4 linked regions of the Anolis sagrei genome follow. The protein of the gene in region 1 interacts with the protein of each later gene in a pairwise test. Links are inferred from orthologs where the notes say so. Each region holds a gene or a part of one and is shown on either strand. Other genes may lie near its edges. The genes, in order: CCDC33, USHBP1, ARIH2 and BCCIP.

Region 1 (8,512 bases):
GACTTACTCTTGAAGAACCATCCTCAAAGTCCAGCTTAGGGCTGTCTTCTGGAGACGGGAGGTGGAGACTGGCATCGCTTGGCAATCGCCGCAGCAAAACTGGTGAGGACGACAAGGACGATGGCAGAGATACCGATGCCCTGTCATGTGATGGATCGTCCATTTCTTCTGGAGGAGCTTCGTGATGAGGAACAGGAGGTTGGGTGAGCAACTGGTGAGAAGACAAAGAACAAGTTCTAGAACGAGGCTTCTTCATGGTATAAAAGACCAGTCTTTTTATATTTAGGATTATCTGGGTGAAGAGTGGTCAAGGGTTCTTCCAGATGTTGACCATAAGGCAGTGTTTCTCAACCTGGGGGTCACGACCCCTGAGGGGGTCATGAAGGGGTGTCAGAGGGGTTGCCAAAGACCATCAGAAAACACAGTATTTTCTGATCATCATGGGGATTCCATATAGGAAGTTTGAGCCAATTCTATCGTTGGTGGAGTTCAGAATGTTCTTTGATTGTAATGAACTATAAATCCCAGCAACTACAACTCCCAAAAGTCAAGGTCTATTTTCCCCAAGATCCACCAGTGTTCACATTTGTGCATATTGAGTATTTTTGCCAAGTTTGGTCAAGATCCACTATTGCGTGAGTCCACAGTGCTCTCTGGATATAGATGAACTACAACTCCCAAACTCAAGGTCAATACCCACCAAACCCTTCCAGTGTTTTCCGTTGGTCATGGAAGTTCTGTGTGGCAAATTAGGTTCACATTTGTGCATATTGAGTATTTGTGCCAAGTTTGGATGAGTCCACCATGCTCTCTGCATATAGGTGAACTCCAACTCCCAAATGCAAGGTCAATACCCACCAAACCCTTCCAGTGTTTTCCGTTGGTCATGGAAGTTCTGTGTGGCAAATTAGGTTCAAATCCATCGCTGGTGGAGTTCAGAATGCTCTTTGATTGTAGGTGAACTATAAATCCCAGCAACTACAACTCCCAAATTACAAAGTCAATCCTCCCCCAACCCCACTAGCATTTACATGTGGGTGCATTGGGTATTTGTGCCCAGTTTGGTCCATTGAATGAAAATACATCTTGCATATCTGATATTTACATTATGATTTATAACAGTAGGAAAATGACAGGTATCAAGTAGCAACAAAAACAACATTATGGTTGGGGGTCACCACAACATGAGGGGCTGTATTAAGGGGTCATGGCATTAGGAAAGTTGAGGATCACTGCCATAAGGTCACATCGGAATACCTAAAGATTCCTAGAACATCTCTCTCTGGAAATCTCTAGGTCCTCCAGATCTGACCAAGAGTCATTCTTGGTCAGATACAGTCATTCTGGAGGACCTAGAGACCCCTAGAGTGGGCTGACTGTACATACATTTCAGTTCCTGTGCATAATGTCATCCTTTACATCATGAATATTTCCTATTGTTGTTGTTGGATGCCATCAAATCATTTCCAACTTAAGTTAGCCCTAAGGGTTTTCTAGAGCTCATCCAAGGTCACCCAGTGGGTTTTCATGGCTGAGTGGGTGCATATACTCCATAGAATTAATTTGGTGTGACCTCAATTTCACTACCATTGCTCAATGCTATGAAATCCTTGATGATGTAGTTTGCTGAGGCACTGATGTGGTTGGGCAGAGAAGGCTGGAGATCTTGTCAAACAACATCTTCCAGGATTCAATTCCATATCAGTTAAAATGCACCCTATGTTTGTGTAGAATTACCCTATACATGCTGAGATATCTCATGATGTTTCCTGTATATCTCATAGTTGGGTGCGATCTCCAAGATATCTCATGATGTTTCCCGTGCATATCATACATGGATCCCATCTCCAAGATATCTCATGATGGATTCCATATATATGGTACTTGGGTCCCATCTCCAAGATATCTCAGGATGTATTCCATATACATGGTTCTTGGGTCCCATCTCCAAGATATCTTATGATGTATTCCATACATATCGTACTTGAGTCCTGTCTCCAAGATATCTCATGATGTATTCCTTATATATCGTATTTGGGTCCCATCTCCAAGATATCTCATGATGTATTCCTTATATGTCGTATTTGGGTCCCATCTCCAAGATATCTCATGATGTATTCCTTATATATCTTATTTGAATCCAATCCCCAAGATATCTCATGATGGGTTCCCTATGTATTGTACTTGGGTCCCATCTCCAAAAAATATCATGATGTATTCCATATATATGGTACTTGCATCCCACCTCCAAGATATCTCATGATGGATTCCATATATATGGTACTTGGGTCCCATCTCCAAGATATCTCAGGATGTGATATCATACATGGATCCCATCTCCAAGATATCTCATGATGTATCCAATATATATCATATTTGGGTCCCATCTCCAAGAAAGCTCATAATGTATTCCATATGTATTTGGATCCCTTCTCCAAGATATCTCATGATGTATCCCATATGTATTGTACTTTGGTATTGTACATATCTTATGATGTATCCCATATATATCGTATTTGAGTCCCATCTCCAAGATATCTCATGATGTATCCCATATATATTTTATTTGAGTCCCATCTCCAAGATATCTCATGATGGATTCCATATATATGGTACTTGGGTCCCATGTCCAAGATATCTCATGATGGATTCCTTATATATCGTATTTGGGTCCCATCTCCAAGAAAACTCATGATGTATCCCATATATATCGTACTTGACTCTCGTCTCCAAGATATCTCATGATGGATTCCCTATGTATTGTACTTGGGTCCCATCTCCAAGATATCTCATGATGTACCCCATATGTATTGTACTTGAGTCCCATCTCCAAGATATCTCATGATGTATCCCATATATCGTATTTGAGTCCCATCTCCAAGATATGTCATGATGGATTCCATATATATGGTATTTGGGTCCCATCTCCAAGATATCTCAGGATGTGTTCCGTATACATCATACATGGGTCCCATCTCCAAGATATCTCACGATGAATCCCATATATATCATGGACAATAATGCTGATGGAGTTCAATGCTCCAGCAACGATGTCATGCCAATTCCTTTTTCCCTTCCCAAGAAACGAAATGTTGTGACAAAAATTCACTCTTCTCCTAACCTGGGGGGTGTGGGGTTCCATGCTGAATAAAAGCGAAGTGGAAGTTTCTGAGGTGGAGACTGGATAGACCAAGCGAGGGACCTGCAGAGACTGGGAAGGAGACAGGGAACTGGTTTCCTCTCCCTCGGGCAGCTCCTCCGCCTTGGTGGGAGGCAACGGCGAGAGGCGGCGGGGCGTGATGGGCCTCTTCCTCTGGGCCACTGGTCGGTGCTCGTGGAAGGACACGGTGAAGGCCATCCTCCCGCAGTGCATGGCCAGATCGTCTGGACCCACTCGCAGCAGCACCAGGATGTCGCTGTAGCCATACACGTCTTCGTCTCGGCCGGCAAACAGGTTCATGCGCGGCTGGTTGGTGCGCGGGTAGATGGCAAAGAAAGCCTCGCCGGCCTTGATGGCCCCCTTCAGAGAAGACCCACGGAGGCGCAAGGCTTCGATGCGCAGGCGGGCATCGTGGTTCTTGTCGTTCTTGCAGAAACCTGTTTGTGAAATGAAAACCAAAAAGGTAAGGACAGTTATCCCTCCACATTTGCAATTGTGACTTTTATAGATTGGATTCTTCACAGGTTTGATTAAAATGTTATCACGAGGAATCTCTAGGTTAATGTCTCTCATCATAGGGGGTCGGGACCCGGGGGGGGGGTCATGAAGGAGTATCAGGGGGGTTGCCAAAGACCATCAGAAAATACAGTAATATTCTGTTGGTCATGGGGGACCCCCAAGGTCATATCTCTTGGTCATGGGGGATGCCTGGCTCGAGAGCAGTACGTGTGAAAAAGATCTTGGAGTCCTCGTGGACAACAAGTTAAACATGAGCCAACAATGTGACGTGGCGGCAAAAAAAGCCAATGGGATTTTGGCCTGCATCAAGAGGAGCCTAGTGTCTAGATCTAGGGAAGTAATGCTACCCCTCTATTCTGCTTTGGTTAGACCACATCTGGAATATTGTGTCCAATTCTGGGCACCACAATTCAAGAGAGATATTGACAAGCTGGAATGTGTCCAGAGGAGGGCGACTAAAAGGATCAAGGGTCTGGAGAACAAGCCCTATGAGGAGCAGCTTAGGGAACTGGGCATGTTTAGCCTGAAGAAGAGAAGGCTGAGAGGGGATATGATAGCCATGTAGAAATATGTGAGAGGAAGCCACAGGGAGGAAGAGGGAGCAAGCTTGTTTTCTGCTTCCCTGGAGACTAGGACGCAATGGAGCAATGGCTTCAAACTCCAAGAACTCCTGGTGGGTTCATAGGCAGAGATGCGGTCAGATAGGTAGCTTGGGCCGGAACTGTTTAGGGCTTTAAAGGCCAACGCCAGCACTTTGAATTGAGCCCGGTAGCAGATCGGCAGCCAGTGGAGTTGGCGCAACAGGGGGGTTGTATGCTCCCTGCGCTCCGCTCCTGTTAAAATCATGGCTGCCGAGCGTTGGACTAGTTGGAGCTTCCGAGCTGTCTTCAAAGGCAACCCCACGTAGAGAGCGTTGCAGTAGTCTAAGCGGGATGTAACCAGAGCGTGGACTACCGTGGCCAAGACTTCCCAAGATACGGGCGCAGCTGGTGCACAAGCCTAAGCTGTGCAAATGCTCCCCTGGTCACTGCCGAGACCTGGGGCTTCAGGCTCAGCGATGAATCCAGGATCACTCCCAAGCTGCGAACCTGATCAAGGGTCTGGAGAACTAGCCCTATGAGGAGTGGCTTAAAGAGCTGGGCATGTTTAGCCTGAAGAAGAGAAGGCTGAGAAGATATGATAGCCATGTATAAATATGTGAGAGGAAGCCACAGGGAGGAGGGAGCAGATCAGGGGTCTGGAGAACAAGCCCCATGAGGAGCGGCTTAAGGAGCTGGGCATGTTTAGCCTGAAGAAGAGAAGGCTGAGAGGAGATATGATGAGGGCCATGTATAAATATGTGAGAGGAAGCCACAGGGAGGAGGAAGGAGCAAGCTTGTTTACTCCTTCCTTGGAGACTAGGACACAAGGGAACAATGGTTTCAAACTACAAGAGAGGAGATTCCATCTGAACATTAGGAAGAACTTCCTGACTGTGAGAGCTGTTCAGCAGTGGAACTCTCTGTCCCGGAGGGAGTGTGGTGGAGGCTCCTTCTTTGGAAGCTTTTAAGCAGAGGCTGGATGGCCATCTGTCGGGGGTGCTTTGAATGCAATATTCCTGCTTCTTGGCAGAATGGGGTTAGACTAGATGGCCCATGAGGTCTCTTCCAACTCTTTGATTCTATGATTCTATGATTCTATATCAGCATAAAGTAAGAACATCACATCATTTTCTTCTCAGCTGTGATGACTCGCCGTAGTGCCGTGTTGCTGGGAAAGTCCACCCTGGCCCCGTCTCCGTTACTGGAAGGACCATGACTAAAGGCCAGGAAAACAGGGAAAGGGGGGCAGGTGAAGGATGACACCACCATCCGTGAACCGTTTGAAAATCCCCTGGTGGGACCAGATCAAAGGAAACACAACAATGACCTAATCCATGTCGGAGCTTCTGGGCCTCAAAACCAGGAATTCATTCCCATCATCAACGTTCTCTATCCTCTTAAATCAGGGCCGGGCCAACCTTCTAACTTGGGGACCACACTCCCTGCGAGGAGGACAGGAAGGAAGGGAAAGATGAAGGAAAAAGAGAAGGAAGGAAGGAAGAACAAAAGGGAGGAAGGGAAGGATGGAAGGGAAGGAGGAAGGAAAAAGAGAAGGGAGGGAGGGAGGGAGAGAAGGAGGAAGGAAAGGGAGAAGGAAGGAAGGACAAAAGGGAGGAAGGATAGAAGGGAAGGAGGAAGGAAAAAGAGAAGGGAGGAAGAGAAGGAAGAGAAGGAAGGAAGGATGAAAGGGAGGAAGGCAAGGAGGAAGGAAAAAGAGAAGGAAAGAAGGAAGTAAGAGGGAAAAGAAGGATGGAATGAAGGAAGAAAGGGATGGATGAAGGAAGGGAAGGATAAAGGAAAGAGAGAAGGAAGGAAAGTCAGGGGGAAAGGAAGGAAGGTAGGAAGAAAGGAAAAAGAGAGAGGGGGAGAATGCGAGAGGGAAGGGAGGGAAGAGAGAAGGAAGGGAAGACAAAAATGGAAGGAAGGGAGGAAGGAGAAAGAGGGGGGAAGGAAAGATGAAAGGGAAGGACAGAGGGAGGGAGAAAGAAGTCGGGAAGGAAGGGAGGGAGGAAAGGAGGAAGGAATGAGAGAGGGAAGGAACGATGAAAGGGAGGAAGAGAATGATGGAACGAAGGAAGGAGCAGACTGTTGAAGGAAGGATAAAGGAAAGAGAGAAGGAAGGAAAGACAAAGGGAAAGGAAGGAAGGAGAAAGAGAGGGAAAATGAGAGAGGGAAGGGAGGGATGAGAGAAGGAAGGAATGACAAAAGGGAAGGGAGGAAGGAGAAAGAGAGAGAGGGAAGGAAAGATGAAAGGGAAGGACAGAGGGAGGGCGAAAGAGATCAGGAAGGGAGGGAGGAAAGGAGGAAGGAATGAGAGAGGGAAGGAACAATTAAAGGGAGGAAGAGAATGATGAAACGAAGGAAGGAGCGGAATGATGAAGGAAGAGAAGGATAAAGGAAAGAGAGAAGGAAGGAAAGACAAAGGGGAAGGAAGGAAGGAAGGAGAAAGAGAGGGAGAAAGAGGGAATGAAGGGATGAGAGAAGGAAGGAAAGACAAAAGGGAAGGGAGGAAGGAGAAAGAGAGAGGGAAGGAAAGATGAAAGGGAGGAAGAGAATGATGGAACGAAGGAAGGAGTGGAATGATGAAGGAAGGGAAGGATAAAGGAAAGAGAGAAGGAAGGAAAGACAAAGGGAAAGGAAGGAAGGAATGAAGGAGAAAGAGGGAGAAAGAGAGAGGAAAGGAAGGAAAGACAAAAGGGGAGGAAGGAAGGAAGGAAAGAGAGGAAGGATGAAAGAGGGACAAATGGGGAAGGAAGGAAAGACAAAAGGAAAGTAAGGATGAAAGGGTGGAAGAGAAGGATGAATGGCGAAAGAGGGAATGAAGGAATAAGGAGGGAGGAAAGGGAGGGAAGGACAAAAGGGTGGAAGCAAGGAATGAGAAAGAGGAAGAGAGGGAAAGAAGGAAATGCGAAAGGGTGAAAGGAAGGAGAAAGAAGGAAGGAAGGAAAGAACGAAGGTAGGATAGGATGGTGAGAGAGAGGAGGGCCTGAGAAAAGAGCCCAAGGGGCCAGATATGCCCATACCTGCCTTCAATCATAGACTATTTGAAGTCTTGTTAAGTAGAGCTTCTATTGTGCCAGTATGACCAGTGATAAGGAACGCTGGGAGTTGAAGTCCAACTGCATCTTGAGGGTTCCCATCCCCTGGCTTATATTTTGGGCTTCGTTAAGCATAATGCCCAAGACCTTCTCATGAAATGAGATGGATTTCTGGCCCTGAAGGCCATCTCCTTATCTTCTCCCAGAGTCCCCTCAGCTCACCCTGGACCAACCCCCCTGGCATGGCCCACCCCACCTGGCTTGCTGGGGGGCTCTTCCCAAGCTCTGCTCTGCCGGCATCCTTCTTACCTTTGGGCAGGATGAAGAGGAACCTCCTTTTCTCAAAGGTGTAGACTTCATCCAGGCTGCCCTGCTCCACCACGTCGGTGGTGGCCGTGTTGGTCTGGAGGGGTTCTCCTTCATTGACCCGGAGTTGCACCCCGGCTCCTGACCCCTCCAGCAAGGGGTTTTCCACCGTGAGCCTCAGGGCGTAGCTGCCCACCTTGTTAAACTGGACGCTGGTCAACTCAAAGTCAAAGTCCAAGACCTTCTCCTCGGCCTTCAGGCGGGATTTCTGCAAGGTCATGGGGAGACGGGGCTCCCGGTGCCTGTTCGCCATGGCGTGTTGGGTCATGGAGGAGAAGAGAAGAGCACGTCACAGGCACATCTCCAAGGAGCTCGCCATGGGTTCATCTGCCTGGAGTTCATCATGCAAATTGCACCATGGTTGAAGGGCTCCTAAACAGACCAACACAACTCAGGAGAGAAGGATCTCTCAAACACACCTTGGCTTTGGCCCAAGACTGACCTGCCAAGGCCTGAGATCCTTCTCCACAGGCATGACTCTGGTTCCTACCATTCACACATCTTCTTAGATGAGCGACAGAAGCCACACCAACACACATTGGAGGAAAGTGCAAGATATCCGTGAAAAAGGAGGACGAGGAAGAAAGGCCAAAGGAAACCCAGCTTGGCTTCTGTGTTTGTTTGCAAATGAGCCTTGGTAACAAACTCAGGGCCAAGCAGGGCTTGTGCTCACCTGCAAACAATGCCCGTTAGCCAAGTGCAAACAGGTGGTTGATGTGGAAGCAGGGCTGGGGGAGAGTGTTAGCGGCAGGGGAAGGACATCAGGATTCAAAGGGGAGGCCCATGGAAAGCAGTCTGTCTGTCTGTCTGCCTATATCTATCTATCTATCTCTATCTATCTATCTCTA
Region 2 (8,612 bases), on another chromosome or scaffold:
AAGTCAGCGACCAAGGTGTCTTTATTAGCGATTCAGCTGAGATCGGATGCATTGTAGGAATAGTTCCACTACAAGCATACCGCTAAAGAATTTATAAGCATTTTTATAGAGAAAATACAGCAAAACCTTTTGAATTTTCCGCCCGCCCCTCTCCGCCCGGCTTCACGCTGATTGGTTGACAGCCTGAACAGCTGGGAGGAGGCTTGGCGGCCCGCCCTGCCCTGGGCCAATCAGCAAGCTTCTCCGCCTCTGGAGGGCCAATCGGCGTGCTTCTCTCGCTTCTGAGGATGGACGAATCAGAAAAGAGGAGGCGGGCCGACCGCGGACAATGGGGGAAATGATGGGATTACTGATAGCCGGCCAGCTGGAATGTGAGGCTTTTGTCCTGAGCCGGCTAGGTGTGATTTCCACAAGAAAGGCTTTCCTGTCCTTGATGGGTTTTGGTGGGGAAACAAACAGGACCGGGGCAGGGGACCTCAGGGGGGTCGACCCTGCCCTTTGTAAATCAATCATAATGTCCATATAGACTTCCTCGTCTCGCCAGACCGACTCAGAGAGCGAGAAAGGAAATCCCAAATATGCTATTGTCCATGCTGATGTGAGATAATCAAAATGAGTTTCGAGGGAGGCAGGGGTCCTCCCTCAGGCATTGCAACGGTCCTTGGTCACTTCTTTTAGGGCAAAAGTCAAGGGGAAAGGCGGGAAGGCAGACGATATTTCATGCAATATTATTTATACAAAGTTCATGTAAGAAAAACCCCATTTCCACCCCACATCTTAATTATTTAATAAAATAATTGATTTTTTATTTGAAAACTTGAAGTCCCAGGTTTCTGAGGGAGGCTCGTGGAAACGGAGGTGGCTTGCAGTTCAAAGCAAGCAGCAGAGAGTCATTTTCTTCTGGTAGAAGTTAGCAGATGGGCGCTGAGTTGATAAATAACAAGATCCATCGCTCGGTCCTTGGGGAACTATAACTCAAGTACCCTTATTAGAGATTAGATACAAAGTCAGGGCTAGAGGGAAAATGATGAAAGCTGAAAGCAGTCCTGGCCTTGAGCTGTTTGTTGGGGCACATTTCATCAGTTTTTTTTCAATTTCGGCTTCCAGGAACTGCGGAACTCTCCGCTGCAGTATAGACCAGTTACTGGACGGGGGCTCTCGGCACCATTTGCATGAATTCTCAATATGCCCAAATGTGAACACTGATGAGTTTGGGGGAAACAGACCATGGCATTTGGGAGTTGTAGTTGCTGGGATTTATAGTTAACCTACAATCAAAGAGCATTCTGAACCCTACCAACAATTGAATTGGGCCAAACTTCCCACACAGAACCTCAATGTCCAACAGAAAATACTGTGTTTTCAGGATGGTCTTTGGTGACCCCTCTGACACCCCCTCGCGATCCCTCCAGGGGTCCCGACCCCCAGGTTGAGAAACACTGATCTAGAACATACCCGACTAAATCTTCAAAAACAGGATAACATCCAAGTTAGGGCCAGGTTTTAGCACAGCGGGTTAAACCACCAGCTGCAAAAAATCTTGCTGATCAAAAGATTGGTAGTTCAAGCCTGGGTCAGGGTGAGGTAGCCTGGTCTTTGATGCCTGGAGGCACCCTCTAGGCAGAGACCCTCACTGATTGACTTTGCAGCTGCAAGGCTACTATCAATGCTAATTGGAACAGTCACACTAGCTTGAAACAGAGAAGGTTCTTTCTCCCTCCCTGGATATCATTCCACAGGGGGCTATATATATATATATACACATACATACATACATACATATACATACACATACATACACACACACACATTCCACTTGCTTCACTACCTCTATTCAGATACCCTCACTGATTGACTTTGTAACTTCAAGGCTACTCAATGCTATTCAAGCTTGCTACTTGCAACATCCACACTTGCTTCAAAGAGACAAAGGTTCTTTTTCCCACCCTGGACATTATTCTATAGGGATATGCACACACTCCACTTGCTTCACTGCCTCTGTGCAGACACCCTCACTGATTGACTTTGCAACTGCAAGGCTACTCAGTGCTGTTCAATCTTGCTACTTGCAACATCCACACTTGCTTCAAAGAGACAAGGATTCTTTTTCCTAACCTGGACATTATTCCACAGGGATATACACACACTCCACTTGCTTCACTGCCTCTATGCAGACACCCTCACTGATTGACTTTGCAGCTGCAAGTTTCCTCAACGCTAATTCAAGGTTGCTAATTGCAACATTCACACTAGCTTTAAAATAGGGAAACTCCAGACATCAAGCACACACTGGACAGCTCCCCAGCAGAGGGTGTTTCCAGGCAACAGAGGCCAGGCTATCTCTATGCAGATACCCTCACTGATTGACTCTGCAACTGCAAGGCTGCTCACTGCAACACCACAATTGCTTCGAACAGACAAGGTGACAGCGACCAGTTACCTGTCTTTCTCCCGCTGGAGGCATTGGATGTGTCCGTGAAGGCGGGACACCGTCACTAGCAGTGCCGTGATGTGCTCCTCGCAGCGAAGGGCTTCTCGCTCATCTGGTGGCAAAGCCTTTTCGGGGGATCCTTTGTCACCTCCAGGCCTGGATCCTTCCTGCGTTTCGGGAAACAAAATGAGTTGAATCAATGGCAGGCAAAGGCCTCAAGTGTGGCTACTATGGATCCAAGGTGTGTGCTTGACCTGGGCAAGAGCTGCATCCAAGCAACGGTCCTATTATATAAAAATAAAAAAGTAAAGGTTTTCACTTGACATTAAGTCTTGTCATGTCCGACTCTAGGGTGTGGTGCTCATCTCCATTTCAAAGCCAAAGAGCTGGCATTGTCCTCAGACGCCTCCACGGTCATGTGGCTGGCATGACTGCATGGAGTGCCATTACCTTCCTGCTGGAGCAGTACCTATTGTTCTACTCACATTTGCATGGTTTCGAACTGCTAGGTTGGCAGGAGCTGGGGCTAACGACGGGAGCTCACCGCATCCCGCAGATTTGAACTGCCAACCTTCTAGTCAGCAAGTTCTGCAGCTTAGTGGTTTAACCTGCTGCGCCAACACAGCCCCTATTATATAATAATAATAATACAATAATATTATAGGGACTATACTGCTCAGAGGCTGAGAGAATGTGGCCCTTACCTGCTCCATTCTGTCCAAAAAGTGGCTCCAAAGGCAGCATCAGCATCAAAATAAGCCAAAGCCCAGCCCTTTGGTTCCTGTTCATTCCCATAAAAATAATAATAAAGAAAAGGCCTTCCTGTTTTTCCAGAGAGGAAGGAAGCCAGCTATATCCGGACCAGTGCTTTAACCCTAAAGAAACTGGGGTGGAAGTATTTACTTATGTATTTATTATTACTATATTATATTTATTACTAGCTTGGGGTCCCGGCAGTGCCCGGGTGATTTGAAAAGGGCATTGGTTGTTTTGGGATGTTAGGTCATATCATTTAGTTAATTAGTAACATTATTTATTAGAAAAAAGCCAGTCTTTCCTGTTGTTTTTTTATGAATGCTCCCATTAGAAAATGCATAAGGGTGTGGGTGAACTGCAGTTCCCAAAATCGTGGGCCAATTACCCCAAGCCCCACCAGTATTCAAAGTTAGCCATGTTGGGCTTGTGTGCCAGGTTTGGCCCAGATCTGACGTCGGCTGCGTTCAGTGCTCTCTGGATAAGGGCAAACGAAAACTCCCAGAATCGTGGGTCAATCGCCGCCAAACCCCACCTGTACGCACTGCAAAGTTTGGTCTGGATCCGACATTGGCTGGATTCAGTGTTTTCTGGATAAGAGCGAACTACAATTCTCAAAATCAAGGTCAATTTCCACAAAACCCTGTAGTATGTTCAGTTGGTCATGGGGCTTCTCTGTGTGAAGTTTGGTCTCCCGTCCATTGTCAGTGGGGGTCACAGTTTGTATGGATGTAGGTGAACTATAACTCCCATAAATCAAGGTCAATTTCCCCCCAAACTTCTCCAGTATGTCCACGTGGTCATGGGGTTTCTCTGTGCCAAGTGTGGTCCTGGTCCATTATCGGTGGGGGTCGCAGTATGACTGGATGCAGGTGAACTACAATTCCCAAAATCAAGGTCAATTTCCCCCAAACGTCTCCAAAATGTTCAGATGGCTTCTCTGTGCCAAATGTGGTCCCGGTCCATTCACGGTGGGGGTCACAGTTTGTATGGATGCAGGTGAACTATAACTCCCATAAATCACATATACAGATTTTCACTTTTATTATGTGTATAGATATAGATATATCTAATATAGTATAATCAAAACGTATCTAAAACAATATAATGAAATTGATTAATAATATAATATATTAATAAAGTATTATTAAAGTAATATTTCCCTTTTAAAAAAAATTGACTTGATTTGGGCAAGAGGCTTAGGTTTTTGGCAGGGAAACTACAAATCCCAGAAGGCCTTGCGCCGGAAGGGCGGGGCCAAAGGAATGCCCTCCCTCCTACCCACTTCCGGCTCGGTTTGCAAAGGGAAAGAGTCTGCATCTAGCCGCTTAAAGGTGAGAAAAAGGTTTATGTATAGGTTTATGGTGCAATGCATAGCTGCTAATATGGGGAAAGGGCATGAACACTGTTATTATTATTGTTATTGTTATTATTGTTAATCAACCTGCCCTATAGGGGGAAAGCACATTGTATTTCCTTGCATTTGTTATGGCAAGATCAATCTCCACCATTAGAAAAGGAAACTAATAATAATAATAATCATAATAAAATTATGGTGATTATTATTATTATTATTATTATTATATTATGCAGAGACTAGATAACCATTTGTTGGGAGGGCTTGGATGATATCTTCCTGTCTATAATTATAATTCTAATTTTATCATTATATTATTATTGTTGTTGTTGTTATATTTCAGAGCTTCCAGGAGGGCATGGCTTGTGTCTTTCTGCCTGGGGCCTCCTCCAATTCTATATTATTATTATTATTATTATTATTATTATATTATATTACTATCAAGGAATCCAGGAGAACTCCCAAACTGCGAATCTGCGTTTTCAGGGGAAGTGTGACCCTGTCCAACACAGGCCATAACCCTATACCCTGTTTGGCCTTGTGACTGACCAGGAGCACCTCTGTCTTGTCTGGATTCAGTTTCAGTTTGTTTGCTCTCATTCAGATCATCACAGCTGCCAAGCACTGGTTCAGGACCTGAACAGCCTCCTTAGTAGCAGGTGGAAAAGAGTGATATAGTTGGACGTCATCTGCATACAGATGGCATCTCTCCCAGTGGCTTCATGTAGATGTTAAACAACATGGGGACAATACTGAGCCCTGTGGGACCCCACAAGACAATGGCTGTGGGGCTGAGCAGGTGTCAGTAACACCTTCTGAGAATGACCTTCCAGGAAGGACCAGAGCCACTGCAGAACAATGCATCCAAGCCCCATTCCCAACAGGCGTTCCAGGATACCGTGGTCTACGGTATCGAAGGCCGCTGAGAGGTCCAGGAGAACCAACAGGGACACACTCCCCTTGTCCAGTTCCCTATACAGATCATCCACTAAGACGACCAAGGCTGTTTCAGTTGTTGTTATTATTATTATTGGAAACACAACAAGATGGGTCCACAGCAGACACTCTGTTGGCTGTTGCATTGGATCACACGTCAGACACTTCCCAACTGTCTAGGAGTGTGTGATGTATCTGCGAATAATGCGTGCAGATCCCAGTAGGGTGGCCTTCTGCAGCTGGCAGATGGTAATTTTGTCAGTGCCTATTTTGTTTAAATGCAGGCCAAGGTCTTTAGTCACTGCACCCAGTGTGCCGATCACCACTGAGACCACCTTGACTGGCTTGTGCCAGAGTCTTTGCAGTTCGATTTTTAAATCCTCATATTGTGCCAGCATTTCCAGTTGTTTCTCTGCAATCCTGCTGTCACCTGGGATTGCGACATCGACAATCCATACTTTTTTTTTAACACGATTGAGGTCAAGAGTATTACGCTCCAAAACTTTGTCTGTCTGAATCCAGAAGTCCCAGAGGAGTTTGGTGTGTTCATTCTCTGTAACCTTTTCCGGCTTGTGATCCCACCAGTTTGTTGCAGGCAGATGGTTTTTGTGGCACAAGTTCCAATTAATCATCTGAGCAACGGTGTTGTGCCTCTGCTTGTAGTCTGTCTGCGCAATCTTCTTGCAGCAGCTGAGGTTGTGATCTGTTGTTTCATCTGCTTCCTTGCAGAGTCTACACTTGGGATCTGTTGTCAGCTTTTCAATTCTGGCTTTGGTGGCGTTGGTTCAAATGGCTTGTTCTTGGGCTGCCAGAATCAGGCCCTCCGTCGTCTCCTTTTTCAGAGTTCCATTTGTGAGCCACAGCCATGTTTTTCTTTGTCAATTTGGCTCTCCATTTTTGCTTGAACCTGTCCATGGAGAGCCTTCTTTTGCCAGTTTTCTCTTCTGCTTTGGATTGTGTTTTCACTCTTTGTCTTTGGCACTTGAAGCAGTTGACTACACACTAGTCCAATGTGGGCTAGGCAAAACTACGGTGAGGTGGATCTGTAATTGGTTAAGTGGACGAACACAGAGAGTGCTCACTAATGCTTCCTCTTCATCTTGGAAAGAAGTGACAAGTGGAGTGCCGCAGGGTTCCGTCCTGGGCCCGGTCCTGTTCAACATCTTTATTAATGACTTAGATGAAGGGCTAGAAGGCATGATCATCAAGTTTGCAGATGACACCAAATTGGGAGGCATAGCCAATAGTCCAGAGGACAGGAGCAGAATTCAAAATGATCTTGACAGATTAGAGAGATGGGCCAAAACTAACAAAATGAAGTTCAACAGTGACAAATGTAAGATATTCCACTTTGGCAGAAAAAATGAAATGCAAAGATACAGAATGGGTGACGCCTGGCTCGAGAGCAGTACGTGTGAAAAAGATCTTGGAGTCCTCGTGGACAACAAGTTAAACATGAGCCAACAATGTGATGTGGCGGCAAAAAAAGCCAATGGGATTTTGGCCTGCATCAATAGGAGCATAGTGTCTAGATCTAGGGAAGTCATGCTACCCCTCTATTCTGCTTTGGTTAGACCACATCTGGAATATTGTGTCCAATTCTGGGCACCACAATTCAAGAGAGATATTGACAAGCTGGAATGTGTCCAGAGGAGGGCGACTAAAATGATCAAGGGTCTGGAGAACAAGCCCTATGAGGAGCAGCTTAGGGAACTGGGCATGTTTAGCCTGAAGAAGAGAAGGCTGAGAGGAGATATGATAGCCATGTATAAATATGTGAGAGGAAGCCACAGGGAGGAAGGAGCAAGCTTGTTTTCTGCTTCCTTGGAGACTAGGACGTGGAATAATGGCTTCAAACTACAAGAGAGGAGATTCCATCTGAACATGAGGAAGAACTTCCTGACTGTGAGAGCCGTTCAGCAGTGGAACTCTCTGCCCTGGAGTGTGGTGGAGGCTCCTTCTTTGGAAGCTTTTAAGCAGAGGCTGGATGGCCATTGGTCAGGGGTGATTTGAATGCAATATTCCTGCTTCTTGGCAGGGGGTTGGACTGGATGGCCCATGAGGTCTCTTCCAACTCTTTGATTCTATGATTCTATGATTCTATTGACTTCCCTCACTGTTGTTCTTGACTGCCTTTCACATAATCTGCCAGTGTGTGTTTCTCTTCTTCTACCTTTTGTTTCACTTACAGAAGCCCTCTCTTTGCCTCCTGATTTTCTGGGCAGGTCAAGTCTGTCGATGACATCTCTACGCGGGTGTAATGAGTAGTGGGCTGTCATCAGTTTCCTTGTTTTTCTGTCCAGATCATCCAGCTCTGCTTGTGTCCAGTTCACAATCCCAGCAGTGTATCTAATGACGGGGATGGCCCAGGGGTTGAGAGCCTTGATCGTATTTCTGCCATTTAATTTGCTCTTCAAAACCTTTCTGACCCTTTGGACATATTCTTTGCTGACGACACTTTTCACATGCCCATGCTTGATATTATCCAACCGTAGTATGCCCAGATATTTGTAGGCTTCAGGCTGATTGCATTTTATGGTTTGTCCATTTGGCATCTCTATGCCCTCGCTGTGTGTAATTTTCCCTTTCTTTAATGCCACTGTGGCACATTTGTCTAGGCCGAACTCCATACTGATGTCAGTGCTGAAGATTCTGACTGTGTTGGTCAGTGACTTGATTGCAGTTCCTGATTTTCCATAATTATAATTATAATTATTATTGTATTGTCAAAGGCTTTCATGGCTAGAATCACTGGGTTGTTTTAGGTTTTTCAGGCTATATGGCCATGTTCTAGAGGCATTCTCTCCTGATGTTTCGCCTGCATCTATGGCAGGCATCCTCAGTACCTCTGAGGATGCTTGCCATAGATGCAGGCGAAATGTCAGGAGATAATGCCTCTAGAACAGTGGTTCTCAACCTGGGTTCCCCAGATGTTTTTGGCCTACAACTCCCAGAAATCCCAGCCAGTTTACCAGCTGTTAGGGTTTCTGGGAGTTGAAGGCAAAAACATCTGGGGAACCCAGGTTGAGAACCACTGCTCTAGAACATGACCATATAGCCTGAAAAACCTACAACAACCCTATTATTATTATTATTATCATCATCATCATTGTTATGTCTTCCTAGGATTCCCTG
Region 3 (7,486 bases), on another chromosome or scaffold:
TTTGAAATCGTAGGAGCTATAGTTTCATAAGATCTTGAGCCTTCTGACAAAAAAGCGTGGGCGCCTCACCAAACTACAACTCCAATGATCCCACAGCATTGAGAATAAAAGTTAAAGTGGGGCCAGACTGCATTCATTCTACACTGCAGTTGCTTTCTGAGAGAACACAATTATCAGCGGAAGCCTTTGTAGACATGTCCCAGGATTACACAGCATTCTATACACTGCAGAAGTAATGGAAGATGTACCCATGCTACAACAGGCCTAGGCAAACTTCTGCCCTCTGCGTGTTTTGGACAGGCTATTAGGAACTGTGGGAGTTGAAGTCCAAAACACCTGGAGGGCTAATGTTTGCCCAGGCCTGTTCTACCATGTAGGCAAGCCTATTATGCTTGTTTGGAGCTTACAGGGTGACTAGCCATGGTCAGGACCCCATAAACTCCAAACAGGCATGCATGCATTTTTAGATGGGTTCTCCATCATACCTGTATTTTAAAGAATTAATAATTATAACATCAACAACAAACAATCTAGGGCTGTTAGGAATTGTAGGAAGTCCAAAGGAGGGCTGAAGTTTGACCATGTCTGTACAGGACATTATATACTCATCTTCCATTTTAATTTAAATGGCAACCAAGTTGCTTCCCTCACCTCCCAGTCCTCTCCTTCTCACCTTTTCTTCAAAAAAAATAATAATGCCAGCATAAAATCCATAGTTTAAAATTGACATTAAAAGTAGGTCATTGTTTTTATTACTACGTAAAACAAGGCCCAGGTGGCTTCCCTCATGTCTCCCAGTCCTTTCCCTTTAGAAAGATCTAAAGACTTGGCTTTTCTGATGTGCCTTTGGAGAGTGACCATATATTCCAGTCCTGTTGTTTCACCTACACTGCTTCCCCCATACTGCACTTTCCCCCACCTTATTGAAAGTCTAAATCCACTGTTCAGTCCCCTTTGAGCTCCTCCCCCACAATTGTACCTTTTCATTGCTATCTCATCCAGTGTTTTATCATTTTATGTCATGCATTTGGCCCGCCCACTGTGTCTGATTTTCCATTATGTTATTTTGTACTGTTTATTTTACTTGATTGGTTTATTTATTTTATTGTGATGTTATTTTGTTGTTTATATTTAATGTTGCTGTAATGTATCGCTGGGCTTGGCCTCATGTAAACTGCCGCGAGTCCCCTTTAGGAAGATGGTGGCAGGGTATAAATAATAATAATTATTATTATTATTATTCCCTCTCATCCATTCTTGTAAAAATGCCAGCTTAAAATCCATGGTTTAAAATTGACATTAAAAGATAGGCCTTTTTTTATTACTATGATTAATGGGTACATTAATGTACTTTCTACTGACGACTCCTATGACATATGGCCTGTATTATGACCTGAATTGTCATTCAATCTGATGTCCTATATTATATTAACTGATCCTGTTAATTTGCTCTGTTTCCATGGTTTTTCCTATGCCTTAATACATTGTCATCTACCTTACTTCCAAGTACTTGGAAGGCGCTGAACAGACTGTGCTCTGGCACCACGAGATGCAGAGCCAACCTTCAGAAATGGGGCTACAAAATGGAATCCTCGACATACGAGTGTGGAAAAGAGCAAACCACTGACCACCTGCTGCAATGCATCCTGAGCCCTGACACATGCACAATGGAGGACCTTCTTGCGGCAACACCAGAGGCACTCCAAGTGGCCAGATACTGGTCAAAGGACATTTAATCAACTACCAAGTTTGCAAAATCTGTGGGTTTTTTAAAAATCTGATTGTTTATTTTGTTCTGTTAGAAATGTGATACAATGGTATGGTTGCCGATGACACGATAAATAAATAAATCTACGTTACTAAATCACTTTATCCTTTAACTAGTTCACGTAGTGGTTTGCCTCCCCCCTCCAAAATTAGTCTGCTGTTATTATTGTTGCTAGCTATTTTTGTTATATTGTTTTATGCTCGTATGCCCTTCACAAACACTAGTATCACCTTTTGCTTATGGCCCAGCATTATTTCCAATTTTAACTCTACATTTGGCCTTCCCACTGTTTTAATTATGTGTTGCTTCTTTAATTTTTGTCGTGTCAGGAGTGACTCCTGTTGTGAGAGAATTGGCCGTCTGCAAGGACGTTGCCCAGGGGACGCCTGGATGATTTGATGTTTTTATCATCTTTGTGGGAAGCTTCTCTCATGTCCCCGCATGAGGAGCTGGAGCTGATAGAGGAAGCTCATCTGCCTCTCCCCGGATTCGAACCTGCGACCTGTCAGTCTTCAGTCCTGCTGGTACAAGGGTTTAACCCACTGCGCCACCGGGGCTTCTTTAATAATGTTGTGTATTTATTATCTATGTTTTTTAATTGCTTGTATCGATGTTTTATTGCTTCTGTTGTTGTGTTGGGCTCGGCCTCATGTATGCCGCACCGAGTCCCTTGGGGAGATGGTAGCGGGGTACAAATAAAGTTAATCAATAATAAATAAATAAATGCTGTTTTATGCTGTTTTAATTGTTATTGCTTTATTTTAATTATATTCTGCCTGGGCTTGGGCCCAATGTAAGCCACCCCGAGTTCCTTCGGGGAGATGGAGGCAGGGTAGAAAAATAAAGTTCTTCTACATCTGTACTGTACAATAAGGGTAGTTTGGCACCTATTTGATTGCTAAGGAACGGTGACTGTTGTAGTTTGGACTCTTGGCACCATCCTCGGGATGGGGAATACAAACTACAGCTCCCAGGACCCCATAGTATTGGGCCTAGACAAGGAAAGGGGTGCCAAGCTGCCTTAATTCGAATGAAAGGATGGGAGAAGCGAAGCACCAGACCTTTGAGCAGGCATGGGCTTAAGCGGCTGAGGGGGGAAAGGAAAGGGCCTGAGGCTGTTAGGAATGGTGGGAGTTGAAGTCCAAAACAGCTGGAGGGCCCAAGTTGGCCCATGCCTGCCCTTGAGGCCCACAACAAGGCAACTACGAGGGGGCCTTGCCTCTCCCTCCGCCCGCCCTCTATGTAAACAAGGCCCGGCTTCTTCCCCTCAGAGACTCTCACCCTCAGAGCGGTTGGGATGAACGCGGCCTCTTCAGCAGCGAGCGAAAGGGAAGACCGAAAGGAGGGAAGAAGGAGAAGAAAGAAAAGGGAGGAAGACCGAATCACCTTCCTGCCGAGGAGACGGGCGCCTCCATCTGTAGCCGGGCCGCTGTGGCCTGCGCACCGGAAGCCGTGGCCTCCAGCGCGGCGTCACTTCCGCCGCCGGGAAGGCCGCTGACGTAGGAGGAGCTGGCAAGGCGAGGAAGGCTGGAACGAACCATTCTTCAGAGCGCTCGGGGAGGGGGGGGGGAGCAGAGATGAAGCGTTCTATGGGCCATATGGAGAGTGAAGAGGGGGAGGACGAGATCTTTCTTCTTGCCTTCCAGATTATCCTCTTAGAATCATAGAATCAAAGAGTTGGAAGAGACCTCATGGGCCATCCAGTCCAACCCCCTGAAAGAAGCAGGAATATTGCATTCAAATCACCCCTGACAGATGGCCATCCAGCCCCTGTTTAAAAGCTTCCAAAGAAGGAGCCTCCACCACACTCCGGGGCAGAGAGTTCCACTGCTGAACGGCTCTCACAGTCAGGAAGTTCTTCCTCATGTTCAGATGGAATCTCCTCTCTTGTAGTTTGAAGCCATTGTTCCGCATTCTAGTCTCCAGGGAAGCAGAAAACAAGCTTGCTCCCTCCTCCCTGTGGCTTCCTCTCACATATTTATACATGGCTATCATATCCCCTCTCAGCCTTCTCTTCTTCAGGCTAAACATGCCCAGCTCCTTTAGCCGCTCCTCATAGGGCTTGTTCTCCAGACCTTTTATCATTTTAGTCACTCTCCTCTGGACACATTCCAGCTTGTCAATATCTCTCTTGAATTGTGGTGCCCAGAATTGGACACAATATTCCAGATGTGGTCTAACCAAAGCAGAATAGAGGGGTAGCATTACTTCCTTAGATCTAGACACTATGCTCCTATTGATGCAGGCCAAAATCCCATTGGCTTTTTTTGCCGCCACATCACATTGTTGGCTCATGTTTAACTTGTTGTCCACGAGGACTCCAAGATCTTTTTCACACGTACTGCTCTTTGTTTCACAGAGATCTGTTTTAAAAACAATCCCCACCATCCATCAAGAAGGCTGATGAGATTCTTTGGAAGATAGTTTTATTAAGATTTCCTGCATTGAGAATGCATCTTTTATACATGGAAAGTGTCCTTCTAGCTATATATGCTTCTAAATACCAAATATTCCCAGATCTCATCTCCACTCTAGGAGCCCCCGGTGGCATAGTGGGTTAAACACCTGTGCCAGCAGGACTGAAGACCGACAGGTCGCAGGTTCAAATCCCAGGACAGCGCGGAGGAGCTCCCTCTATCAGCTCCAGCTCCTCATGCGGGGATATGAGAGAAGCCTCCCACAAGGATGATAAAACATCAAATCACCTGGGCATCCCCTGGGCAACATCCTTGCAGACAGTCAATTCTCTCACACCAGAAGCGACTTGCAGTTTCTCAGGTCGCTCCTGACGATGAAAAAAAAGGCTGACCCGAATATAAGCCAAGGCACCATATTTTACCCCAAAAAACTGGGAAAATGTATTGACTCGAGTATAAGCCGAGGGTAGGAAATGCAGCAGCTACTGGTAAATTTCAAAATAAAAATAGATGCAATACAACTGCATTAATTGAGGCATCAGTAGGTAAAATGTTTTGAATATTTACATAAAACTATAATTTAAAATAACACTATGGAACTCTGATTAAACCATTATTCTAACCTTCAATGTAAATTATTATTATTATTATTATTATCTTTATTTGTACCCCGCTAACATCTCCCGAAGGACTCAGTGCAGCTTACAAAGGCCAAGGCCCTCAGTAAAACAACAACATAACAAATACAACAATAAAACTCATAAGGGATGTGCTTGCATATACTTCCAATAAAAATAGAGTAAAATAACAAATGTAATAATACTAACAATAATAATAGAGTAAAATAATGGAAATGTAATAATAACTACGGTAATAATAGAGTAAAATAAGAAATATAATAAAACAATAGTAAAGTAGAATGATCAATGTAATAACAACAACAATAACAGTACATTTATTATGTATTTCTAACAGGTAAAATAATAAATAACCTTGACTTGAATATAAGCCGAGCGGGACTTTTTCAGCCTAAAAAAAGGGCTGAAAAACTAGGCTTATACTCGAGTACATACAGTATATAATTTCTATATATAATGTTTATTATTATGTACTAGCCGTTCCCTGCCACGCATTGCTGTGGTTCAATCTTTGCATATGTGTTTTGTGTGTGTATATATATATGTGTATATGTATATATGTGGTTTTGCACATGCGTTGTAATGTATTTATTTGTTTTGGCTTTTTAAGTTTCATCCACTGTGTTTTTCAGTGTTTTTATGAGTGATGGTCACTTGTTGGCCTGATAGGTGCATTGTGTCCAAATTTGATGTCAATTCGCACAGTGGTTTTTGAGTTATGTTAACCCCACAAACCAACATTACATTTTACAGCAACGCGTGGCCAACTGGCTGTTAGGAATTGTGGGAGTTGAAGTCCAAAACACCCGGAGGGCCCAAGTTTGTCCATGCCTCCCTATTCTGATGCATCATTTCTGACTGCCCCTCTTGTGCTTATCAGTGACATGGTATGCACATAATAATAATAATTAGCAGAAGTAAAATGAGGCTTAGGAATTGGGGAAGATGTGGTCATCCTCAATCTTGTGTTCAGCTGTGTTCACAAGTGAAACAGACACTGCTCAATCTTGCCACTAGATGGAGGAAAGTTGTTGGTAAGTAATTTTCAGCATTCTTTCCAGTCTGAGCAAATGCAGGGCATTGTTCCATCTGAATTCAGGCAGCAGATTATTTATTTAACAAATAGAGGCAAATAGTGTCATCACTTCTGCATTGTTCTTTTCTCTGACTTCCTCTTACAGATAATATCAAGTGTTCAGCATGCCTTCTAAGGTTGGCTCCACGCTGTAGAATTAATGTAGTTTGATACCACTTCTCCTACCATGGTGGGGGACATGAGCGAAGCCTCCCTGCAGGATCGTAACACATCCGGGCGTCTCCTGGGCAACATCTTTGTAGATGACTGATTCTCCCACATCAGAAGTGACTTATCAATTCAGTAACGGACACGATAAATAAATAATAAATAAGACACCTTCACTCTTTGGTGGGAAAGGCAAAAGACGTTGTAAAATGACAGTTCTCCTGATTTGTAAGTACCAATGCACTTACAGTGGTATTAAACTGCATCAATATCAAAAGTGGACACAGAATTTAATAATCATTATGTGAGGAGGTAATTGTTGAAAATCTGAAACAGATATAAAGTCTTGTCGAAGGCTTTCATGGCCAGAATCACTGGGTTGTTGTAGGTTTTTTCGGGCTATATGGCCATGTTCTAGAGCAGGGATCCACAAACTTTTTAAACAGAGGGCCAGGTCACAGTCTCTCAAACTGTTGGAGGGCCGGATTATAAGTTGTAAAAAGCATGAATGAATTGCTATGCCCACTGCACATATTTTATTTGTAGTGCAAAAACCACTTAAAAACAATACAATAATTACAATGAAGTACAATTTTAACAAATATAAACTTATTAGTATTTTAATGGGAAGTGTGGGCCTGCTTTTGGCTGATGAGATAGGATTGTTGCTGTTGTGTGCTTTCAAGTTGTTTCAGACTTAGGTTGACCCTGAGCGAGGGCCGGGTAAATGACCTTGGAGGGCCGTATCCGGCCCCCGGGCCTTAATTTGAGGACCTCTGTTCTAGAGGCATTCTCTCCTGACGTTTCGCCTGCATCTATGGCAAGCATCCTCAGAGGTAGTGAGGTCTATTGGAACTAGGAAAGTGGGTTTATATATCTGTGGACAAGTCTACATAGACAAGAGGACAAGAGGGATCCTCTCACTTCTTCAGGAGTCTACCGTATACCATGCAACTGTGGACAAGTCTACATAGGGACCACCAAACGCAGCGCCCAAACACGAATCAAGGAACATGAAAGGCACTGCAGACTACTTCAGCCAGAGAAATCAGCCATAGCAGAGCACCTGATGAACCAACCTGGACACAGCATATTATTAGAGAACACAGAAATGCTGGACCACTCTCACAACCACCATGTCAGACTACACGAGAAGCCATTGAAATACACAAGCATGTGGACAATTTCAACAGATAGGAGGAAACCATGAAAATGAACAAAATCTGGTTACCAATATTAAAAAGCTCTAAAATTACAACAGCAAAACAACAGAGGGGAAACAATCAGGCACATCTAATCACCTCTCAACAAAAGATTGTCCCAGGCACTGCCAGGCCATCAAATGCTAATCAAGGTGGTTAGTTGAAACATTCACACCTGCTCCAACAGACATGAGTTCTTTGCCCCACCCTGGTCATTC
Region 4 (7,573 bases), on another chromosome or scaffold:
CCAATGTATGTCCAGCACTGTGGGTGGGGCCAGATACCTGTTGGGACAGCCCCATGGTTGCCATGGTAGACATGAAGTCCTGAGCCGCTCCCGATAGGGTGGTCTCGGCGTGGACATTGAAGTCCCCCAGCACAAGCAGCCGCTGGGACTCCAATGCCAGGTCCGAGATCACCCCCGCTAGCTCAGTCAGGGAGTCTGTAGTGCAGCGAGGTGGACGGTACACTAACAGAATCCCTAATCTGTCCCGGTCACCCACCCTCAGGTTGACGCATTCAAAATTTGTTGACTGCGGGATGGGGGCCCTGGTCAGAAGAATGGAGTCTCTATAGATCACTGCAACCCCGCCTCCCCGCTCCCCGGATCTTGGTTGGTGCTGCACGGAGAAACCTGGCGGGCAAAGCTGGGTCAAATTTACACCTCCAGCTTCGTCCAGCCAGGTCTCCGTGATGCACGCCAGATCTGCCCGTTCATCCAGGATTAAATCCTGGATGAAAGCTGTTTTGCCATTGACAGATCTGGCGTTCAACAGCACCACCTTCAATCCGGGGGGACCGCCGACCTGGTTACACCAATTCACCATATCAGGAGACCGAGTTGGAGTTACTAATGTTGTTGTACGATCCCTAGGCCGAATTCGAGGTCTCCTTTTCCCGTATCTCCCCATCCCCACCACGCATATATATATATATGCCTTAAAATGTTCAACAATCTGTTTTGAGATCTATGTATTAGGCCTGTGTGGTTTCGTTCGTTAATTCGTTATTTCGTTATTAATTCGTTATTTTTACCACATCCGACGCGATTTCAAAACACATTTTCAAACCCGGAAGGGTTTAAAAATATCGAAACAGCAGCCCCATATATTTTACGAGCTTCAGCTCGTGTCGTTAATGGGATGGAGGCTGCTGAGTGCTGCTGGTGCCTGGGAGCCAATCCGGCGCTCCCAAGCACCCCAGCAGTGCACCGTGGCAGGAGCCGGAGCCGATTGGATGGCGCGCGCGCGCTCACCCTTACAACCAGCCTCCGCGCGCCATCCAATCGGCTCCGGCTCCTGCGCCCTCCTCCTCCTCCTCCTCCTCGCGCGCGCGCTCACCCTTACAACCGGCCTCCGCGCGCCATCCAATCGGCTCCGGCTCCTGCGCCCTCCTCCTCCTCCTCGTGCGCGCGCTCACCCTTACAACCGGCCTCCGTGCGCCATCCAATCGGCTCCGGCTCCTGCGCCCTCCTCCTCCTGGCACTTCCTGCAACACAGCTGGGAGGAGGAGGAGGAGGGCGCAGGAGCCGGAGCCGATTGGATGGCGCGCGGAGGCCGGTTGTAAGGGTGAGCGCGCGCGCGAGGAGGAGGAGGAGGAGGGCGCAGGAGCCAGAGCCGGTTAGATGGCGCGCGGAGGCCGGTTGTAAGGGTGAGCGCGCGCGCGAGGAGGAGGAGGGCGCAGGAGCCGGAGCCGATTGGATGGCGCACGGAGGCCGGTTGTGTGAGTTTTCAGGGCTGTATGTATGACCATGTTCCAGAAGCATTCTCTCCTGACATTTTGCCCACATCTATGGCAGGCATCCTCAGAGGTCTGTTGGAAACTAGGCAAATGGAGTTTAAAAAATGTTTTGTAAATATTTACGAAATTTCGTAAATAACAAAACATTTTTTTGGAAAGTTTTGTAAATATTTTAAATATCGAAACAAAAAAACACCCCAATTACAAATCGATTTAGAAACAAATTTTTTCTTGATCAAACAGGCCTACTATGTATATAAAATACAAGTGTGTTGGGCAGAAGATAGACAGAGATCTACTGGTAGATCTCTGACCTATATTGATTTCTGAATTCTTTATCAAGATGGCATCCCATGCCCCAAGAATGATAGTTAAAAATGAAGAAGTCACATGGCAAAGGGCTAATTAGGGTTGGATTTCTGGTGCAAAAGTAAGTTGAGTCTCTTATATGTCTCAACAAATATAGATCATTTTGATCTGTCAAACATTTGACAGTTGAAGAGCTATTGAATGAGGAGGGAGGTTTTGTATTTATCTTTTTTCTTACATGGCTTGTAGTTTGGGTTTCTTTTCAATGTTTTACTTTGATGACCTATAACTTACTGTGTGTTCATTGCAAATTGCAAACCACTTATGGGAGAAAGGTGGGTTCAGAATGCTCTTTGATTGTAGGTGAACTATACATCCCAGCAACTACATCTCCCAAATGACAAAATCAATATTTTGAGTGAAAAACATACATTGGGTTGTTAGCTGTCTTGTGTCCAAGTTTGGTCCAGTGGTTTTTGAGTTCTGTTAATCCCACAAACGAACATTACATTTTTATTTATATAGATTATTACTAGTATTATATTGTATTATATAAGAGATAGGGCCTTCTCGGTGGTGGCTCCTCAGCTGTGGAATGCCCTTCCTACGGACATTAGACTAGCACCATCTCTAATGGTATTCTGCAAAAAAGTGAAGACCTGGCTGTTTGAGCAGGCGTTCGAATAATTAGCGCAATGATTGGTTAATGAACACTGGAATGGAACAATGGATGATGAATCTGAAACATGTTTTTGATGACGAGATGACAGTGAATGGGTATTGTAGTAAGTGTTTATTAATTGTGTAATGTGTTAGGTTGTTAACTGTTTTTATACTGTAGCACTGAATTTTTGCTGTTCATATTTGTTGTAAACTGCTGTGAGTCGCCTTCGGGCTGAGAACAGTGGTATATAAGTAAGGCAAATAAATAAATAAATAAATAATATTATTAGCATAGCAGTATTAGTATTATATATTATTATATAGTACTACATCACTACTGTATACTGCAATATTATTAGTAATAATAATAATAATAAACATACTACATGTTTTTATCATAGACTCAATTAGAGAAATAACATTGATAACCCAATGTTACATAGTATTAATGTACCCTGTGTCTTTAAATCCCACTCCCTGAAGGCACTGGACTACAACTCCCAGGACGCATCGCTCTCGGATAACACTGCCTCGCCGAGCAGGGAATGCTGGGAGTTGTAGTCCAGCTGCTTGGGTGAGAAAAGTCATGGCCGACTGGGAGGAAAAGAAAGAAGAGGGATAGAGATCATCACGGCTTGGCGATTACCTCGTTGATCTCCTCCTCTTCTTCTTCTTCTTCCTCATCGTCCTCCTCCTCGCTATCCAACTCCGAGTCTGACTCTTCTTCCTCCCGCAGGGCATCGGGCGGCCCAGCCGCTTTTCTCCGCTTCGCCTGAGAAGCCATGCCGCTGCTCACCCGCTGGCCAGTTTGCGCATGCGTCATGGAGTCCTCCTGACCCAGGGAGGCGGGGATTCTAAGACGACGAGGAAGCCGATTCCTTCAACCTCCCCCTCCCTCCCTCCTAGGTGAGTGGAACGCCTGAGTGTTGGAGTCGCCCACTGGAAGTAGGAAGGGGAGGGGGCTGCTCGTATGCGTTGCCATGGCGACGACGGGCTGATTGACTTCCCGCTCCCCCCGTTAAACCCCTCCGGTTGGATTCGCCTGACCGGGCGCTTTCAAAACAGTCAAGAAGGGGGCAGCCTGACAGTCATGACCTGCAGATTCGACACTGCTTTCACTCATAGTGACCAATGCTATTGGGAATCATGGGATTTGTAGTATGGTTGAGGCAATGCAACTCCCACGACTCCATCGTGTTGCTCCATGGCAGTTAAAAGTGGTGTCAAACTGCATTCATTCTAAAGTGTAGAGAGGATGCACCCCTTTATACCTTCTAAAAACACTTGATTTACCTGGACATCTATGCAAAATAAGCCAAGTATTTACTTTTTCAATTCACTGATATAACAACATCTCCTTATCCACAAAAAAAATAAAAAATAAAGTTATTTGCATTGTGTCCAGCAAATGGCCAAAACCAAGCTGAATATTGATGCCTTATTGCGGTTTTATTATGGGCCCTTCCACCCAGACCTGTATCCCAGAATAGGTAAAGGTAAACGTTTTCCCTGACATTAATCCAGTCGTGTCCAATTTTGGGGGTTGGTGCTCATCTCCATTTCTAAGCCAAAGAGCTGGCATTGCCCGTAGACACCTCCAAGGTCATGTGGCTGACATGACTGCATGGAGCGCCCATTACTATGTACCTGCTCCAACTTACCTACAAGCCACTCTAAACATCTTCGCAGAAGCATACGAAAAGCTTGGCCTGTCATTAAACATTGAGAAAACCAAAGTGCTCTTCCAGCAGTCACCGGCCAATTCCTCTCCAATGCCAGAAATACAGCTTAATGGTGTAACATTAGAAAATGTTGACTATTTCCACTATCTTGGCAGCCACCTTTCCTCCAAAGTCAGCATTGACACTTAAATACAACACTGCCTGAGCTCTGCAAGTGCAGCTTTTTTTCCAAATGAAGCACAGAGTGTTTGAGGACTGGGACATCCGTAGGGATACCAAGGTGCTTGTTTATAAAGCTATTGTCCTCCCAACCCTGCTATATGCCTGCGAGACGTGGACAGTCTACAGACATCACAAGCAACTCCTGTAATGATTCCATCAGCGCTGCCTCTGAAAAATCCTGCAAATCTCTTGGGAAGATAAGTGGACAATTGTCAGTGTGCTGGAAGAAGCAAAGACCACCAGCATTGAAGCGATGGTCCTCCGCCATCAACTCCGCTGGACCGGCCACATTGTCAGGACCACCGTCTCCCAAAGCAGTTGCTCTACTCTGAACTCAAGAACGGAAAACGGAATGTTGATGGGCAGGAAAAGAGATTTAAAGATGGGCTCAAAGCTAACCTTAAAAACTCTGGCATAGACACTGAGAACTGGGAAGCCCTGGCCCTTAGCACTCCAGCTGGAGGTCAGCTGTGACCAGCAGTGCTGTAGAATTTGAAGAGGCACAAATGGAGGGTGAAAGAGAAAAACGTGCCAAGAGGAAGATGCGTCAAGCAAACCCTGACTGGGACCGCCTTCCACCTGGAAACTGATGCTCTCACTGTGGGAGAAGATGCAGGTCAAGAATAGGGCTCCACAGTCACCTACGGACCCACCGCCAGAACACCGATGTTGGAGGACCATCATCCTCGGACTACGAGGGATCGCCTAAGTGAAGTGCTCCAACTTACATACGCATTCAATTTAATAACAAGCCTACAGAGCCTATCTTATTCCTAATTTGGGGACTGCCTGTAATCAACTTTCTGATCCCAGATTGGCAGTATAGACTCATATAATCCAGTTCAAAGCAGATAAGGTGGGATCAGATACTGGATTATATGGCAGTGTAGATCCAGCCTGAGACTGTTGTACTTTGGCCATATCATAAAAAAAAACCTAACTCACAAGAAAAGACAATAAAACTTGGAATAATAAAAGGAGACTGCAATACAGATCGATATACTCAAGCACCTTCTACACTGTCATATAAAATCCAGACTATCTGCTTTGAACTGGATTATATGGCAGTGTAGACTCAGGCCCCTTCTACACTGCCATATAATTCAGAATATCAAGGCAGATAATCAACATTATCTGGTTTGGGTTATCTGAGTCCATATAATGCAGATAATCGAGATAATCTGGATTTTATAGATCTGTGTAGAAGGGGCCTCATACAATTCAGTACATAGCAGATAATATGGATTATATGATTTGATAATCTGGATTAGATGGCAGTGTAGAAGGGGCCTTGGAAATCCTTCATTTCTAGGATCACCATATATCAAAATCAACTGGATGGCATTTAACCACAAGGATTATCTGAGTCTACACTGCCATATAATGCAGATAATCCAGATATTCTGGATTTTATAGATCTGTGTAGAAGGAACCTCATATAATTCAGTTCATAGTAGATAACCTGGATTATCTAATTTGATAATCTAGGCTATGTGGCAGTGTGGAAGGAGCCTTGGAAATCTCTCATTTCTGGGATCACCATATACCAAAATCAACTGGATGGCATTTAACCACACTTTATAGCGAATGAGTTGTAGTGGAGCTTCCTGGTGGGTTTTGTTTGAGGCAGTAAAATACACCGTAGCTTGTAAATCTTTCACTTGGTGACTCACATGCAAACATTTTAAACAGTATTTGTACTAGAAAATATTATTGGAACCATTAAATGAATTGTGTATACGAGTGTGTGAAGTTCTGTGAGTGTGTTGAATTTCTACAGTATGAAGAGGTTGTCATTTCTACTATATATTGGTTGCTAAAATATAATTACCTGAATCTCAGCTAGAGAAGATCCATTGAATCAATGAGATTTACCGATATGTCGATTTGCAATTCAGCATCGAATCCAATGGTTTTTCTGTAATAGGGATAAGCAATAGGATTTAGAACTGTGTTACTTTAAGAAGCAAAACAAATGCATTTCTTTCTTATCTTTTCTCCCCTTGGGACAGAGGAACATATCATTTAAAACCAACATGCATTTTGTTCGCCTTATCAGAGTAGATGTTCCTTCCCAGAGAATGCATAGTAACTGCTTACTCACTGTGCGACAAAGAAGACTTTGGTGAAGCTGTTAATCTTCCTATTTCTTGAGGTCCTCAACTGTACAGACTTCCTATAGAGACGAGTCCTCTAGATCTAATTTAGATATATTTTCATTTGTATTCCTGCTTTTTCTAGCCATTCTTCAGTAAACAATGAAAGTCCTGTTGCTGAAGGATCCCAAAGAAAGTGAAAATGGGCCAGATCCATATATAGAAGTAAGTATCCTTAGTATAAGATTGGAAAACCTTAGAAAATGTTATTTGACTAACTAGCTGTACCTGCCATGCGTTGCTGTGGCCAATCTTCCCTCCTTCTTTCTCTTCTTTCTTTCTTTCTTTCCTTCCTTCCTTCCTTCCTTCCTTCCTTCCTTCCTTCCTTCCTTCCTTCCTTCCCTTTTTTCTTTCTTTCTTTTTCTCCATCCTTCTTTCTTTCCTTCTCTTCTTCTTCCCTTCCTTCTTCCCCTCCCATTTCTTTCCCTTCCTCTTTCTCTCCATTCTTCCTTCTCTACCTATTCTTGGACTGCAACTCCCAGCAGTCCTCCTGATCTATTTATCTATCTGTCTGTCTGTCTGTCTGTCTGTCTGTCTGTCTGTCTATCTATCTATCTATCTATCTATCTATCTGTAGGATTGCTGGGAGTTGCAGGAATAGGAAATTGGAAATATGCAGGGATTGGGATGCTCTCAAAGAAATCCAAGGAGAAGAAAGCTTGCAGCTTGGAAGCAGTGCCTTTGGATCATCCTCCTCTCCTTAAGGGCCTGGTTTTTTTGTATTGTTGCAATTGTGTTGTGCATAGTTGCATTACTTTGGTCCTCGTTCCTATATATATATATATATATATATATATATATATATATATAGTCGTGTCAGGAGTGACTCCTGGTGTGAGAGAATTGGCTGTCTGCAAGGACGTTGCCCAGGGGACGCCTGGATGATTTGATGTTTTTATCATCCTTGTGGGAGGCTTCTCTCATGTCCCATTAAATATATTATACACTGTTTCTATATAAACTATTGTGTTTTGTTTCAAAACATGTTGTTGTTACCATGTAATTGCATCAGTCTATACATTTGTATTCAGAAATAAGTCCAGTGGTT

Evidence for each region.
Region 2: the proteins of CCDC33 (region 1) and USHBP1 interact in a two-hybrid assay, tested with the Homo sapiens proteins (2 studies listed by BioGRID and IntAct). The two-hybrid records come from large-scale screens. The link is inferred for Anolis sagrei from reciprocal best matches to the Homo sapiens genes CCDC33 and USHBP1.
Region 3: the proteins of CCDC33 (region 1) and ARIH2 interact in a two-hybrid assay, tested with the Homo sapiens proteins (2 studies listed by BioGRID and IntAct). The two-hybrid records come from large-scale screens. The link is inferred for Anolis sagrei from reciprocal best matches to the Homo sapiens genes CCDC33 and ARIH2.
Region 4: the proteins of CCDC33 (region 1) and BCCIP interact in a two-hybrid assay, tested with the Homo sapiens proteins (3 studies listed by BioGRID and IntAct). The two-hybrid records come from large-scale screens. The link is inferred for Anolis sagrei from reciprocal best matches to the Homo sapiens genes CCDC33 and BCCIP.

What each region holds. Positions count from the first base shown.
Region 1 is NC_090029.1:300,020-308,531, forward strand, and holds the start of CCDC33 (coiled-coil domain-containing protein 33), read right to left. Parts: upstream 3,461-8,512; coding exon 3,122-3,460; intron 212-3,121; coding exon 8-211; intron 1-7.
Region 2 is NC_090034.1:29,449,493-29,458,104, forward strand, and holds the start of USHBP1 (harmonin-binding protein USHBP1), read right to left. Parts: upstream 3,215-8,612; 5' UTR 3,145-3,214; coding exon 3,136-3,144; intron 2,599-3,135; coding exon 2,441-2,598; intron 1-2,440.
Region 3 is NC_090022.1:28,591,145-28,598,630, forward strand, and holds the start of ARIH2 (E3 ubiquitin-protein ligase ARIH2), read right to left. Parts: upstream 3,243-7,486; 5' UTR 3,050-3,242; intron 1-3,049.
Region 4 is NC_090023.1:196,683,104-196,690,676, forward strand, and holds the start of BCCIP (BRCA2 and CDKN1A-interacting protein), read right to left. Parts: upstream 3,305-7,573; 5' UTR 3,289-3,304; coding exon 3,112-3,288; intron 1-3,111. Other genes in the region: UROS (uroporphyrinogen-III synthase), read left to right, coding at 6,628-6,690. UniProt on the Homo sapiens protein: During interphase, required for microtubule organizing and anchoring activities. During mitosis, required for the organization and stabilization of the spindle pole.